Callithrix jacchus: one gene and its partners. The protein of the gene in region 2 interacts with the protein of the main gene of each other region in a biochemical or structural test. Links are inferred from orthologs where the notes say so. Each region holds a gene or a part of one and is shown on either strand. Other genes may lie near its edges.

Region 1 (4,327 bases), on a different chromosome or scaffold from region 2:
TCATCTCTTAGAGGCATTTGATATACATATTGAGTAACTAGAAAACACTCGCCCCATAATACACACACACACACACACACACACACACACACACGACCTTGTCATACAACACTCCCACCCAAGAAAAGCGAAATTGCTGTTTGATGAACGTAAACCCGTGGCTGTTTCCAGCAGTCAGGAGTCCTGCCAGATTTAAGCACTAAGATGGGAAATGAGCCCCAGGGGTTTCCCCCTGCCTGTGCTGCGATCCTTATTTGGTCAAGCTTCTACCTATGCCCTGGCCTCGGAGCCAGCCAGATAGCCTGGACCAAAGCAGAGGGAGCGAGGCTGCTGACGTCCCATCCCGAAGAGATGAATGGAATTCCAGGCAGCTGGAGTCATGCTGGCTTGGGACAGTGGCTTGGAGACCAGACTTCAATGACAGAAGCACTAGGCAGCGGCACTCATGGCAATGTGTGCACCCACAGAAACGTAACTCACACCTCGATTTCAGGAGCCGAAAAATGAAAAGAACGTTTAGGGAGGAAAAAGGGAAATACAATAATAAGCAGAGGGTAATTTATTACTCTATGGGTCTGTTCTGTAAATAGTTGAAGACTCTGGAGCCAGATGGTTCTGCAAATTCTCCAAACAGGAGTCACGTTAAGAAGCACGAGTGGGCACAAAAACTGTTTTCCAAGACACAATTTCAATTTGGCTTGAGGAAACTGGATACGAGTAAGTTTCCTTAAAATTCGAGTAAAGAGCCGCTGTCCTCCCCGGGCCCCTTGATGAGAACACGCATACCGCCCCCAAGCGGCCGGCCGAGGGAGCGCAGCGGCAGCGGGAGAGGCGCCTCCGTGGGCCCCGGGTGGCCGCGGCAGGAAAGCTTCCGAAGGCGAGCGCCGCGCACCGCCCTGCCCGCCCGGCCGACGCCGAGCTCACCTCCCGCCAGGGCGGGCGTGCGGCCAGCCCGGGACGGGGGATCGGGGCACGCGTGGTCCTCACCCCACCGGGACGGTGGAGGAGGGTCAGCGAGGGCCCAAGGGGCCGCTGCTTGAATGAATGGCTCTTTCGGGGTCCCCTGCGCCCCGTCGGCCCATTTTTCTGGTCACAAAACGGGCCCCCTGTCCCATGTACCCCTCTCAGCCCTCGCCCAGGCAGTCCGGGAGACAAGCTCGCCCGAAAGCCCCCGCCCCACCCCGCGGGCCCTGGGTGGTCGCCGCAGCCCAGTCCCTGCTCGGGATGCTCGCTGACCGCCCCGGGCCCGCGTGGCGCAAGAGCGCGAGCGCCGAGCCCGTGAGCGCCAAGGCTGCGTGGGCGGGCACCGACTTTTCTGAGAAGTGCCAGTGCTACCAAGCCCCGACCCCCGCCCCCTTCACTTTCTAGCTGGAAAGCTGCGCGCCAGCAGCGGGGGGCGGAGAGGAGCCCAGACTGGCCCCCTCCCGCTTCCTGCCCGGCCGCCGCCCATTGGCCAGAGGAATCCCCAGGAATGCCAGAACTCCTTTAAAAGCGCGCGGCTCCTCCGCCTTGCCAGCCACTGCGCCCGAGCCGGCCTGCGAGTTCAGGGCTTCTGCAGCTCTCCCGGCGCTACCTCCACTCCGGACGCACCGGCGACACCCCGCCTCTGCAGCCCTCGCCGCCCTCGTCCCCGCTCCTGGCCGCCGCGCTCCGGTCCACACAGGTAAGACGCCTCCGCCGAGGACCAAGGCTGCCCGGGCCACCTACCTGGAACGCTGAGGCTTCGGTCCCTTTGGTGGACCCCGGATCCCACATTCTTCCCCGCTCACCTGCCCCAGCCCGCCCCTCCCGCCCGCTGGGGGACTTTTCAGGACAAAGCTCCAGAGCCATCCTCTCCAGCCTTGGGGTTCACAGACCACCTCATCAGGACACACCAAGATTTCCTTACTGGTCTTCCTTAAACCTTTGTATTGGCAGTCCAGTTAACAGTCTGTACTTTCCCGTGCCCTCTCTGCAACCACTACGGCTCCTGATCTGGTTCACCTTCGACTTCCCAGAAGCCCCCAAATTGTTGGTCTTGCGCCCCCACACTTTAAAACCAGCATCTCTTTCCTCCACTACTCACTCTCACACTCTCTCTCTCTCTCTCTCTCTCTCTCTCTCTCTCTCTCTCCTCTCTCTCTCTCTCTCTCTCAAGTAATCCTGTTGTCCTTCATTCAGCAAAGAGGGATGGCCCCGGCCCCATGCCCAGCCCAGTTTCTTTTTCTGCCCACCCTCCCTGCCTAGCTGATCTCTGACCCTGGGCTCTTGTGCTGCAGGATCGTTCCTGCTACAGGATCCCTGCTGGGCACCAACAGCTCCACCATGGGGCTGGCCTGGGGACTAGGCCTCCTGTTCCTGTTGCAAGTGTGTGGTACCAACCGCATTCCAGGTGAGTTTGTGTGGCACCTTTACGGGAAGGAGGGATGAGGATGAGGTGCTGGCTACCCCAGGTGTGCCCCCTGACATGCTGTTCTCTCCCAGCTCCTTTTCTCTTGAGCCAGACTGGACATCAGGAGGCAGCTTCCCTCTGATCCTGGTCTTTATTCAGCTCTTTCAGTGGTTGCCAGGAGTTTCCACCCCAGCCCTTGCTCCCCACCCCTAAGGACTCAGCCCCCTACTGCTGGTCCCAGCCTAGAAATCTCACTATATGTTCTCTCCTGTCTAACAGAGTCTGGGGGAGACAACAGCGTGTTTGACATCTTCGAACTCACCGGGGCTGCCCGCAAGGGATCTGGGCGCCGACTGGTGAAGGGCCCTGACCCTTCCAGCCCAGCTTTCCGCATTGAGGATGCCAACCTGATCCCCCCTGTGCCTGATGACAAGCTCCAAGACCTGGTGGACGCTGTGCGGGCAGAGAAGGGTTTCCTCCTTCTGGCCTCCCTGAGGCAGATGAAGAAGACCCGGGGCACGCTGCTGGCCCTGGAGCGGAAAGACCACTCTGGCCAGGTCTTCAGCGTGGTCTCCAATGGCAAGGCGGGCACTCTGGACCTCAGCCTGACGGTTCAAGGAAAGCAGCATGTGGTGTCTGTGGAAGAAGCTCTCCTGGCAACCGGCCAGTGGAAGAGCATCACCCTGTTTGTGCAGGAAGACAGGGCCCAGCTGTACATCGACTGTGAGAAGATGGAGAACGCTGAGCTAGACGTCCCCATCCAAAGCGTCTTCACCAGAGACCTGGCCAGCATCGCCAGACTCCGCATCGCAAAGGGGGGCGTCAATGACAATTTCCAGGTGAGGCTTCTTCTCTGAGCCCTGCTACATGGGATCATCTGCTAGACAGGTGACCTGCCAGGAGGGCTACAGGAAATCCTGAATGTAAACTAAAGCAGCAGTTCTCAGATTTTAGGCAGCATGAGCATCACCTGGAGGGCTTGTGAAAGCTCACACTGCTGCACTCCAGTCCCAGAGTTTGGGATTCTGTAAAACTGCAACTCAATTACAAGTACCAGGTGATGCTGATGCTGGTGGTCTGGGAAGCACACTTTTAAAACGACTCAAGGAAACAAGAAATGGTTTTCCTTCAGCAGTCAGCCTGTTCAAACGTTAGATACTCCTTAAGCTCTTAAGAAAATCGCTTATTTCATATGCATTCCCCCAATTTTAATCGTTTGAAATTGATACTTTCTATGGGCAGAATCAGTACCACTTTGCTATCGGAGTTCTCATGGGGATGCAGCCAGTCTCACACAAAAGGTTAAAATAGCAGTGAGCTGTTGCTGTTACAGCTTCTTCTGTGCCTTAACTTCTAGATCTTTGCAACTGTGGCTTTGATCTCCCATATTTAACTCTTTGACACTGGGACGTGTCATTATATCCTCTGGGCTTAAGATCAGATTCCATTTCCTGTGTACCCAAGTAGACTGATAACTGAATTCTTTATAAAATACTCAAGACTTGGCAGAAGTCGCAATTAAGATGTTGAAGTTTTTTGGCAATTTATGTTGGTGTGTTGTTTTGACACAGTGATCTTAAAAAAGCTCTCTGAAGCTTTTAGAATATCTGTTGTGTGCTTTTCCTAGCACAAAGACAGTCTCCCCCAAACCCATCCCACATCCTCTCAGCATTCTACATGTAATGTGTGTCCTCTGTCCACAGGGGGTGCTGCAGAACGTGAGGTTTGTCTTTGGAACCACACCAGAAGACATCCTCCGGAACAAAGGCTGCTCCAGCTGTGAGTACTCCTTTATCCTTAGGGCTCATAGGGAGATGGGGGAATTCCACTAAAAACAAGGGGAGGAATTTAGCAATAGTGGTTATATGTCAGTTACCCCCAGTAAGATCATTAAGCATACAAAAGAGACCTCAAGGGGTACTGTGCACACACGTACACACACATGCCCACATACAA
Region 2 (4,177 bases):
CCTAGATATCATATAGCCTGCTGTCCTTTGGGTCCCAGGCACCTTTCAGAGTGTACAGATGATTCTCTCTGGTTCCTAAGGCAGAGAGCAATGACCTGGATTTTCAGTAAAGAGATGAGGCAGTGGCAAGTGGCCTCTAAAATAAGATCAATCATCCTCTGTAACCTATCCACACCCCCAAAGGCAATCACCCAGACCCCCAAAACATCTCACACATCCCCAAAACCGACTGCTGGTACAGCTGGAGAAGGGGCTTTATGGAGCTCCCAGAAAGACACCTCTTTAGCTAAGTGCCCTCCCTCCACCCAGGTTCTCTCTGGTTTGACTGTGCTGGGCAGGAGGTCTCCAAGCAGCCACTGGCCGCAGCCATGGCAGACAGAACTCTTCTCTAAGTCGCCAATGATCACAGGCATCCCAATAAAAATACTTCCCAACTCTGGGGTGGAAGAGTTTGAGGAATGAATTTTTAGGGGATTGCAAGCCCCAATCCCCACCTCTCTGTCCCTAGCAATCCCCCACCCCTTCCTGGCTGCGCCATTGCCCAGTGGCAAAGCTTCCTTCTGGAGAGACCACCTAGTCATGTTTCTCATCCTGCACCTCGGCCTCCCCACCCCATCTCAATCATGCCTAGGGTTTGGAGGAAGGCATTTGATTCTGTCTTGGAGCACAGCAGAATCGACATCCTCAAAATTAAAACTCCCTCACCTGTACCGCTCTCTCAGATATCTGATTCTTCATGTCTAGAAAGGAATCTCTAAATTGTTCCCCAAATATTCCTAAGATCCATACCCTAGCCACACCAGAAGACACCCCCGAACAGGTACATCTTTTTAATTCCCCTGTTTTGGAGAGGTCCTCAGCTGGCCTCTTTATGCCCCTCCCTTAGCTCTTGCCAGAAAAGTCAGAGGGCAAGTGGGGCACAGCCAAGAAGAACCCCTCCCCAACACCCCCAACCCTTCCAACTTTGGAAGCCTCCCCACCCGCTCCCCAGTTCCACTTCCTCTAGATTGAAGGTCCCAGGAAGAGAGCAGAGGGGCACCCCTACCCACGCAGCCCACACGGTTCTGAGGACTCAGCGCATCCCTGCGACAGCACCTCTGGCCCAGGCTAGGCTGGGGGGCTGGGGAGGCAGAGCTGCGAAGGGGGGAGATGTGGGGTGGACTCCCTTCCCTCCTCCTCCCCCTCTCCATTCCAACACCCAAATTGGGGGCCGGGCCAGGCAGCTCTGATTGGCTGGGGAACGGGTGGCCGGCTCCCCCTATCCGAAGGGCAGGGTTCCTCCCTGCTCTGGATCTGGATAGTATAAAAAGGGGCCCGGGCCAGTCGTCTGAGCAGACGGGAGTTTCTCCTCGGGGTCGGAGCAGGAGGCACGCGGAGTGTGAGGCCACGCATGAGCGGACGCTAACCCCCTCCCCAGCCGCAAAGAGTCTACATGTCTAGGGTCTAGACATGTTCAGCTTTGTGGACCTCCGGCTCCTGCTCCTCTTAGCGGCCGCCGCCCTCCTGACGCACGGCCAAGAGGAAGGCCAAGTCGAGGGCCAAGACGAAGACAGTAAGTCCCAAACTTTTGGGAGTGCAGGGATACTCCTCTATATCGTGCCTTGCGCTTGGTCCCGGGCGCCGCGGCTTAAACGGAGACGTGGATGTTCCGAAGACGGGAATGGAAGGGAGATGATAAGGGCTCTTGCTGGGCGCCCTGAGAGAAGAGGGAGCTCACCCTGGGAAGGTTGGGGGTGAGCGCGCCCCAGGAGTGGGAGGTGAGGGTGGAGCGTGGCATGAGTTGGTGCAGGAGAGAATCCCGAGCGCGCAACTGGGAAAGTGGGGATCTGAGTGCAGAGTGGGGGAAGCACGTCGAAGATGGGATGGGGGCGCCGAGCAGGGGATTTGAAGCCCAAGGTGTAGAAGCGATTGGGAAGGCTGTGGGATGATTCATAAGGAAAGATTGCCCTCTCTGTGGGCCAGACTGTTGCTGGGGCCGCGGGGGTGCTGGGCCGCGGAGGAGGGGGCGCGGGGCGTGGGCGGATGGAGGATGTGAAACTTTGGCGTGGACTTGGCGGGGTGGGGTCATTGCTCCCCCTGCTGACCGATGCTGCTCACTGCACCTCCCTGTCCAGCGCTTCTTGGGGCAGAAGCCGCAGCGGGAAGACTTGGGTTTTTGCTGGGTGCGGACCCCACCTCTAGATCTAGAAAGTAAAGCCGAGGATGGGGCAGCCCCAGCCTCTTAAAGAGGTGGCCCGGCCGGCGAGGTTGGCCCCGCCCCAGCCCCATAGCTTAGCGTTGCCCGACACCTAGTGGCCGTCTGGGGAGCCGCTAGCGCGGTGGGAGTGGTTAGCTAACTTCTGGACTATTCGCGGACTTTTTGGTTCTTTGGCTAAAAAGTGACCCGGAGGCACTCGCTGGCTTTGGGGAACTGAGGATGGCCGCGAGAGTGGGCTTTTAAGATGTCTAGGTGCTGGAGGTTAGGGTGTCTCCTAATTTTGAGGTACAAGTCAAGTCTTGGGGGGGACTTCAATCAGCCGCTCCCATTCTCCGAGCCCCGCCCCCGCCACTCACCTGCCCAGGGAATGGGGGCGGGATGAGGGCTGGACCTCCCTCCTCTCCTCCTGCGCCCCCCTCCCGTGCCCACCACGCAGGCCACTCCCCACGAGCCTGCCCTAGCGACGGGCCCCTCCTTCTCCCCATCCCCTTCCCCCTCACCCTGTGGTTTTTATTTCACTTGGCTTCAGCGCCAGTGGGCTGAGGTTGGAGTTGGAAGCCACCGCGGCCTAAAGCTTTGTTTAAATTCCTGAGAACTGGAAAGAGTTACAGCCTCCCTGGCCAGGCGCCTCGGCGCTGTCACCGGCGCTGATGAGGAGCAGGCGAGCTTTTAAGGATTTGAGGAAAGAGGAACCGGGGGGAGGGGCAGGAAGTGAAAAGCCCAAGTGTGCCTCTTAGATCCGGGGGAAAGGTGGTTAAAGTGGGGGTCTTCGAGCCCGATATGGGGGTCCCAGCCTCATGACAACGCCCCTCTTCCCCCGCCTGTCCCAGTCCCACCAATCACCTGCGTACAGAACGGCCTCAGGTACCATGACCGAGACGTGTGGAAACCCGAGCCCTGCCGGATCTGCGTCTGCGACAACGGCAAGGTGTTGTGTGATGACGTGATCTGTGATGAGACCAAGAACTGCCCCGGTGCCGAAATCCCCGAGGGCGAGTGCTGTCCCGTCTGCCCCGACGGCTCAGGTGCGGCCGCGCCCGGGGCCTGGGGCTGGGGCTGGGGCTGGGGCTGGGGCTGGGGCTGGGGGAGGTCGGCGCTCGCTGGCCTTGCCTGCTGGTGACCCGGCCGCCGGGAACGGCCTTAGCAAACCCTGGCTCTAACACGCGTCTCTTCTCCCGCTAGAGGCCACCACCGACCGAGAAACCACCGGCGTCGAGGTAATCTCCCGCCCTAGACTTTTGCTCCTCCGACGCCCGTGACTCCTCACGGTCCTCCCTTCTCTAACCTGGCCTCTTGTTTCTTCTCCCCTAATTCCACAGGGCCCCAAGGGAGACACTGGCCCCCGAGGCCCAAGGGTAAGCGTGAGCTCTCTGGGCTGCCGGGAGCTGCAGGTGGGCGTGGCTCCCGGACCCGCGCTCACCCCGGACCCGCCCTCTCCCCCTGCAGGGACCCGCAGGCCCCCCTGGCCGAGATGGCATCCCCGGACAGCCTGGACTTCCCGGACCCCCCGGACCCCCCGGACCTCCCGGACCGCCTGGCCTCGGAGGAGTAAGTGGAGAGGCCTTGTGTGTCCACTCTCCCGTTTAGTTTTTGGGTTTTGGCAGATGACATAATTTTATACTTTGAAATAATTTCAAACTTACAGAAAAGTTGCAGGAATCCTCCAGAAAACTCTCACATACCCTTCACAGTTTGTGACATGTACTTTATTAGTCTCTGTTTATGTAATCGTGTTTTTTTTTTTTTTCCTGAACTGTTTGAGTAAGTTGCTACTATCAGGCTCCTTTGCTCCTAAAGACTTGGGTATGCTTTTCCTAAAAACAAGAGCATTCTCTTTACTGAGCATAGCACAATGATTAAATTCATTCTCTAATGTGCAGTTCACGTTCAAAGTTCACCAATGTCCCAATAATGTCCTTTACAGGTTCCGCCCCCCACACCCCACCGTGTCTCTAGTTTCCACACATGTGGGACGTTCCT
Region 3 (3,570 bases), on a different chromosome or scaffold from region 2:
TGGTGACTAGGCATTGGGAGTGGGGTGGGGTGAGGAGGAAGAAAATGTTAACAATGATGCTACAATGTGGAGATCAGAGGCTATGTTGTCTCTGGAGAGACTGAAGATGGAGAAGCCAGATGGGAGGCTGTAGGAACAATACTGGCCCCAGATTTGTCGCCATGAACTAGACAGCCACTAGCATGATGGTGGGCATGAGCAGGCACTCAAAAAATATTTACTTGGATAGATGGATGGATGAATGGGTGGATGGGTGGATGAACGGATGGATGGACGAATGGATGGGTCCTTGGAGACAGAATGGACATATTTGAGAGATAATTTAAAAATAAGTAGTATTTATTAGGTACTTGTTACGTACCAAGCATTTTCTGACACATCCCCACAACAGTCCTATGAGTTAAGAACTATTTTTATTCTCTCTTTGGAGGTGAAAAAACTGAGACTTGAAAAGTTTCGGCAATTTAGCTGAGATCTCACAGCTAACAAGTGATGGAGATGAGGTTTGAAGTCAACCTTCTGTTTGACCCCAGAACTCACATTTTTGGACCTGATTCTTTGCTGATGCTCTTATGCTTTTAGCCATAAGAGTCTGGCATAGGGCTTGTAACCTGATGATGCTGTTTCAAGTCTTGTTGCTTGCTGCCAGGTACACTCTGACTCATTCCCTCTTTCCTGCTGGGATTAGGTCTAGGAAGGGGACTTCTGAGATTGGCGCTGGCCCATAGAACCACCAAGCCAACAGTTTCCTGAGCAGGCACTCTATATTCTGAAGTGCCCAATCCCTATCCCCATCCCCATCCCTCAGCCCTCACCTTCTCAAACTCGCCAATGGGGGCTGGGCAGCTGGTGGGGTCCTGGCACACACACATGGGTGTGTTGTTCTCATCCAGCTCGCACACCTTGCCGTGTTTGCAGTGGTGGTTCTGGCAGGGGTCTGTAGGGCAGAAAGACAAGGAGTTAGCCTCACCTGGATTAGCACATCCACCCCCATCCTACCTGGACAGATCTCAGGGCTGAAAGTCCCTGGCTGTGGCTCCTACTCTGGGCTTTGGGCAGTCCAGAGTCCTGCCTGCTCTTGCACTGAGCCTAGCAGTCAGCATTTAGGGAGCAGCTGGTTCAGTCTGGGGATTAGAGGTTTATTTCGAGATAGCGGTCAGGCACTTTTTAGGGGCTGGAGGCTCAGTCTGGGACCCAGAAACACTAGATGCCATATGACTTCCCCAAAGATTGAAGCAACCATTGTGTTCCTGGGTCATCACTGAGCAGTCACAGTGAGGCATTTCTGGATTCCAGAATAAGCTTTCTAGAATGCCTTAGAAAGTCAGATGTTGACAATGAGCCAGGGAGCTGTGAGGCCCAACAAAACAGACTTAAGTGGCTGTAAAGGAAAAGGCAGAAAAGCCCCAAGGCCCACGCTGGACAATAGAGCATGGTAAACACCGGATGAGGTGGGAGAGGAGGCAGGAAGGAACATAACTCAGTAGCTGTCCCTCTGTTCCAGTAGAAACCCTGTGCCCAGCTAGATCAAACACCATTAGCTCTCCCCTCAGGATGAGAGCCTAATGTGGCCTTTTCCTTGACATGCTTATTTTGAGTATTTTAATAATCCTTTATTGGATGCCTACTCAGCTTGTCTGAAAAGCTCCTGACAGCCCTGGGATGCAGGTCTGCCATCTCCATCCACCCCATGTAAGAGATGAGAAACTGAGGCTCCGAGGAGTTAAGCAAGCTGGCGTGGAGAAGCCTAGGTTCAAAGCTTGGTTGGACTGCTTCCAAAATCCATGCTCTTAACCCCTTGGGTGCAAATGCCTTGCACTTAGAGCTGGAGCCAGAGCCCCTAGGTCATTGCTCCCCCAGGGCTCTAATGCATGGATAGCGTGGTATGAATTATGTCAGGTTTCATTTCCTGCAGACCTCGTTTCCTTGGGCTGTGTGAAATAGAATGAGCTTATGAGTGTGCAAGTTCCTGATCTCTTCTCTCAGATCTACTACTCTGTGGGGCACGAACTGAGACAGAAGCGATGGGGGATTTCAGCAACCAGATGTGACCAGGGACCCCCATGGGAATGGGAAACTCAGCTTTGGACTAGGGCAAGAGCTATGAGGGGAGAAGGCTATTTCCAGCTGGAGAACTCTCCTTCCCGCCATGCACATGGATGGCCTGTAATCCGATCTTGCCCGGATCCCAGGGGACTGAGTACCACAGTTTCTCAGTCGTTAAGTCAAAGCGGTGTTTCCTCCATAGCCCACTGAGGACCCCACCCTGCATTTCCACTGGAAATGGTAGGTCCTCACATAGGCTGTCCTCATGCCCCAGACCCCCAGGCAACCAAGGGCAGCTTGGATGTGCCAAGTCACAGGGAAGGGACATACTTTCAGCCACCACCTCCTCTTCGGTTTCCTCCGCACCTTCGTCAAATTCTCCTACTTCCACCTGGACAGGGTTGGCTCCCACAGATACCTGGAATTGGTAGAGAAGAATGGGTATAATGGTCCCCACTCCCATCCCAGACCCATAAGGGTACCCGAAGGGCTTCAGGTCACAGAAAGCTCAAATGCAGGGTTGGGAATCCAGATTTAATCTATAGACCCACTGTGTTTTATAGTATGCCCGGGATTCTGTTGAGCTGCCTTAGAAACCACCAGGGATGTTAAGGAAAGAGAGTGTGAAAGGAAAATATATCTTGGGACCCCAAAATCACTAAGCTAAGAGGAAAAGTCAAACTGCGAACTGCATAGGACAAATCTGCCTCCCATTCTATGCAGTCATCCTTCTGAGGCTCACATGAGATAAACCATTGTCTGATTGCTTCCTCTGCCCTGTTACTTATGTAAAAATGCAGACTCACTGAGCCCGATTCAATTGTGTATTCAGTGGAAGGCTGAACAAGGACTCAAAAGAATGCAACCAATTGTCTCTTATCTACTCCTAACCTGGAAGCTCCCACTTCTTGAGTTGTCTTGCCTTAGCCAACCCAACCAATGTAAAACTTAGACATACTGATAGATGTCTCATGCCTCCCCAAAATGTATAAAAGTAAACTACTCCCGACCACCTTGGGCACAGTCTCAGAACTTCCTGTGTCATGGGTGCATCCTTAACCTTGGCAAAATAAACTTTCTAAATTGACTGAGACCTAGTTCAGACATTTGAGGTTCACAAGGGGGTGTCAACCTCCACCCCGACCAGCCACACCCGAGCATCTCCCTTTTCCTCTGTTTTATGTTTGGGGAAACTATGGATAATCATGGAAGAAAAATTATTTTACAGCTTAAAATACAAAAATTTCAAGGTCCTGTCCCCCAAACGTAGGGTTCCATTGAAGGGTTGGGAAGCATTCAGCAGTGTGTCAGGATGTGGGGGATACTCAGGGTTTGCATCTATGCTATGTGTATGTGGAGATGAATGCCCTACCCTAGCACTGAGACCTGCTGCACCTGCCCTAATTTCTCAAGGCACAGATCCGGGTAGAGAGGGGCTAAGGGGCTGTAGTCACTGCTCACCTACCTTCGTCACCTCTGCCATAGTTTCTTCTACCACCTCTGTCTCATCAGGCAGGGCTTCTT

Evidence for each region.
Region 1: the proteins of COL1A1 (region 2) and THBS1 form a complex in vitro, tested with the Homo sapiens proteins (2 studies listed by BioGRID). The link is inferred for Callithrix jacchus from reciprocal best matches to the Homo sapiens genes COL1A1 and THBS1.
Region 3: the proteins of COL1A1 (region 2) and SPARC form a complex in vitro, tested with the Homo sapiens proteins (2 studies listed by BioGRID). The link is inferred for Callithrix jacchus from reciprocal best matches to the Homo sapiens genes COL1A1 and SPARC.

What each region holds. Positions count from the first base shown.
Region 1 is NC_133509.1:47,076,287-47,080,613, reverse strand, and holds the start of THBS1 (thrombospondin-1), read left to right. Parts: upstream 1-1,514; 5' UTR 1,515-1,663; intron 1,664-2,258; 5' UTR 2,259-2,304; coding exon 2,305-2,371; intron 2,372-2,650; coding exon 2,651-3,210; intron 3,211-4,074; coding exon 4,075-4,150; intron 4,151-4,327. UniProt on the Homo sapiens protein: Adhesive glycoprotein that mediates cell-to-cell and cell-to-matrix interactions.
Region 2 is NC_133506.1:116,132,432-116,136,608, forward strand, and holds the start of COL1A1 (collagen alpha-1(I) chain), read left to right. Parts: upstream 1-1,331; 5' UTR 1,332-1,449; coding exon 1,450-1,552; intron 1,553-3,027; coding exon 3,028-3,222; intron 3,223-3,379; coding exon 3,380-3,414; intron 3,415-3,516; coding exon 3,517-3,552; intron 3,553-3,643; coding exon 3,644-3,745; intron 3,746-4,177. UniProt on the Homo sapiens protein: Type I collagen is a member of group I collagen (fibrillar forming collagen).
Region 3 is NC_133503.1:50,621,121-50,624,690, forward strand, and holds part of SPARC (SPARC), read right to left. Parts: coding exon 3,512-3,570; intron 2,465-3,511; coding exon 2,377-2,464; intron 938-2,376; coding exon 816-937; intron 1-815.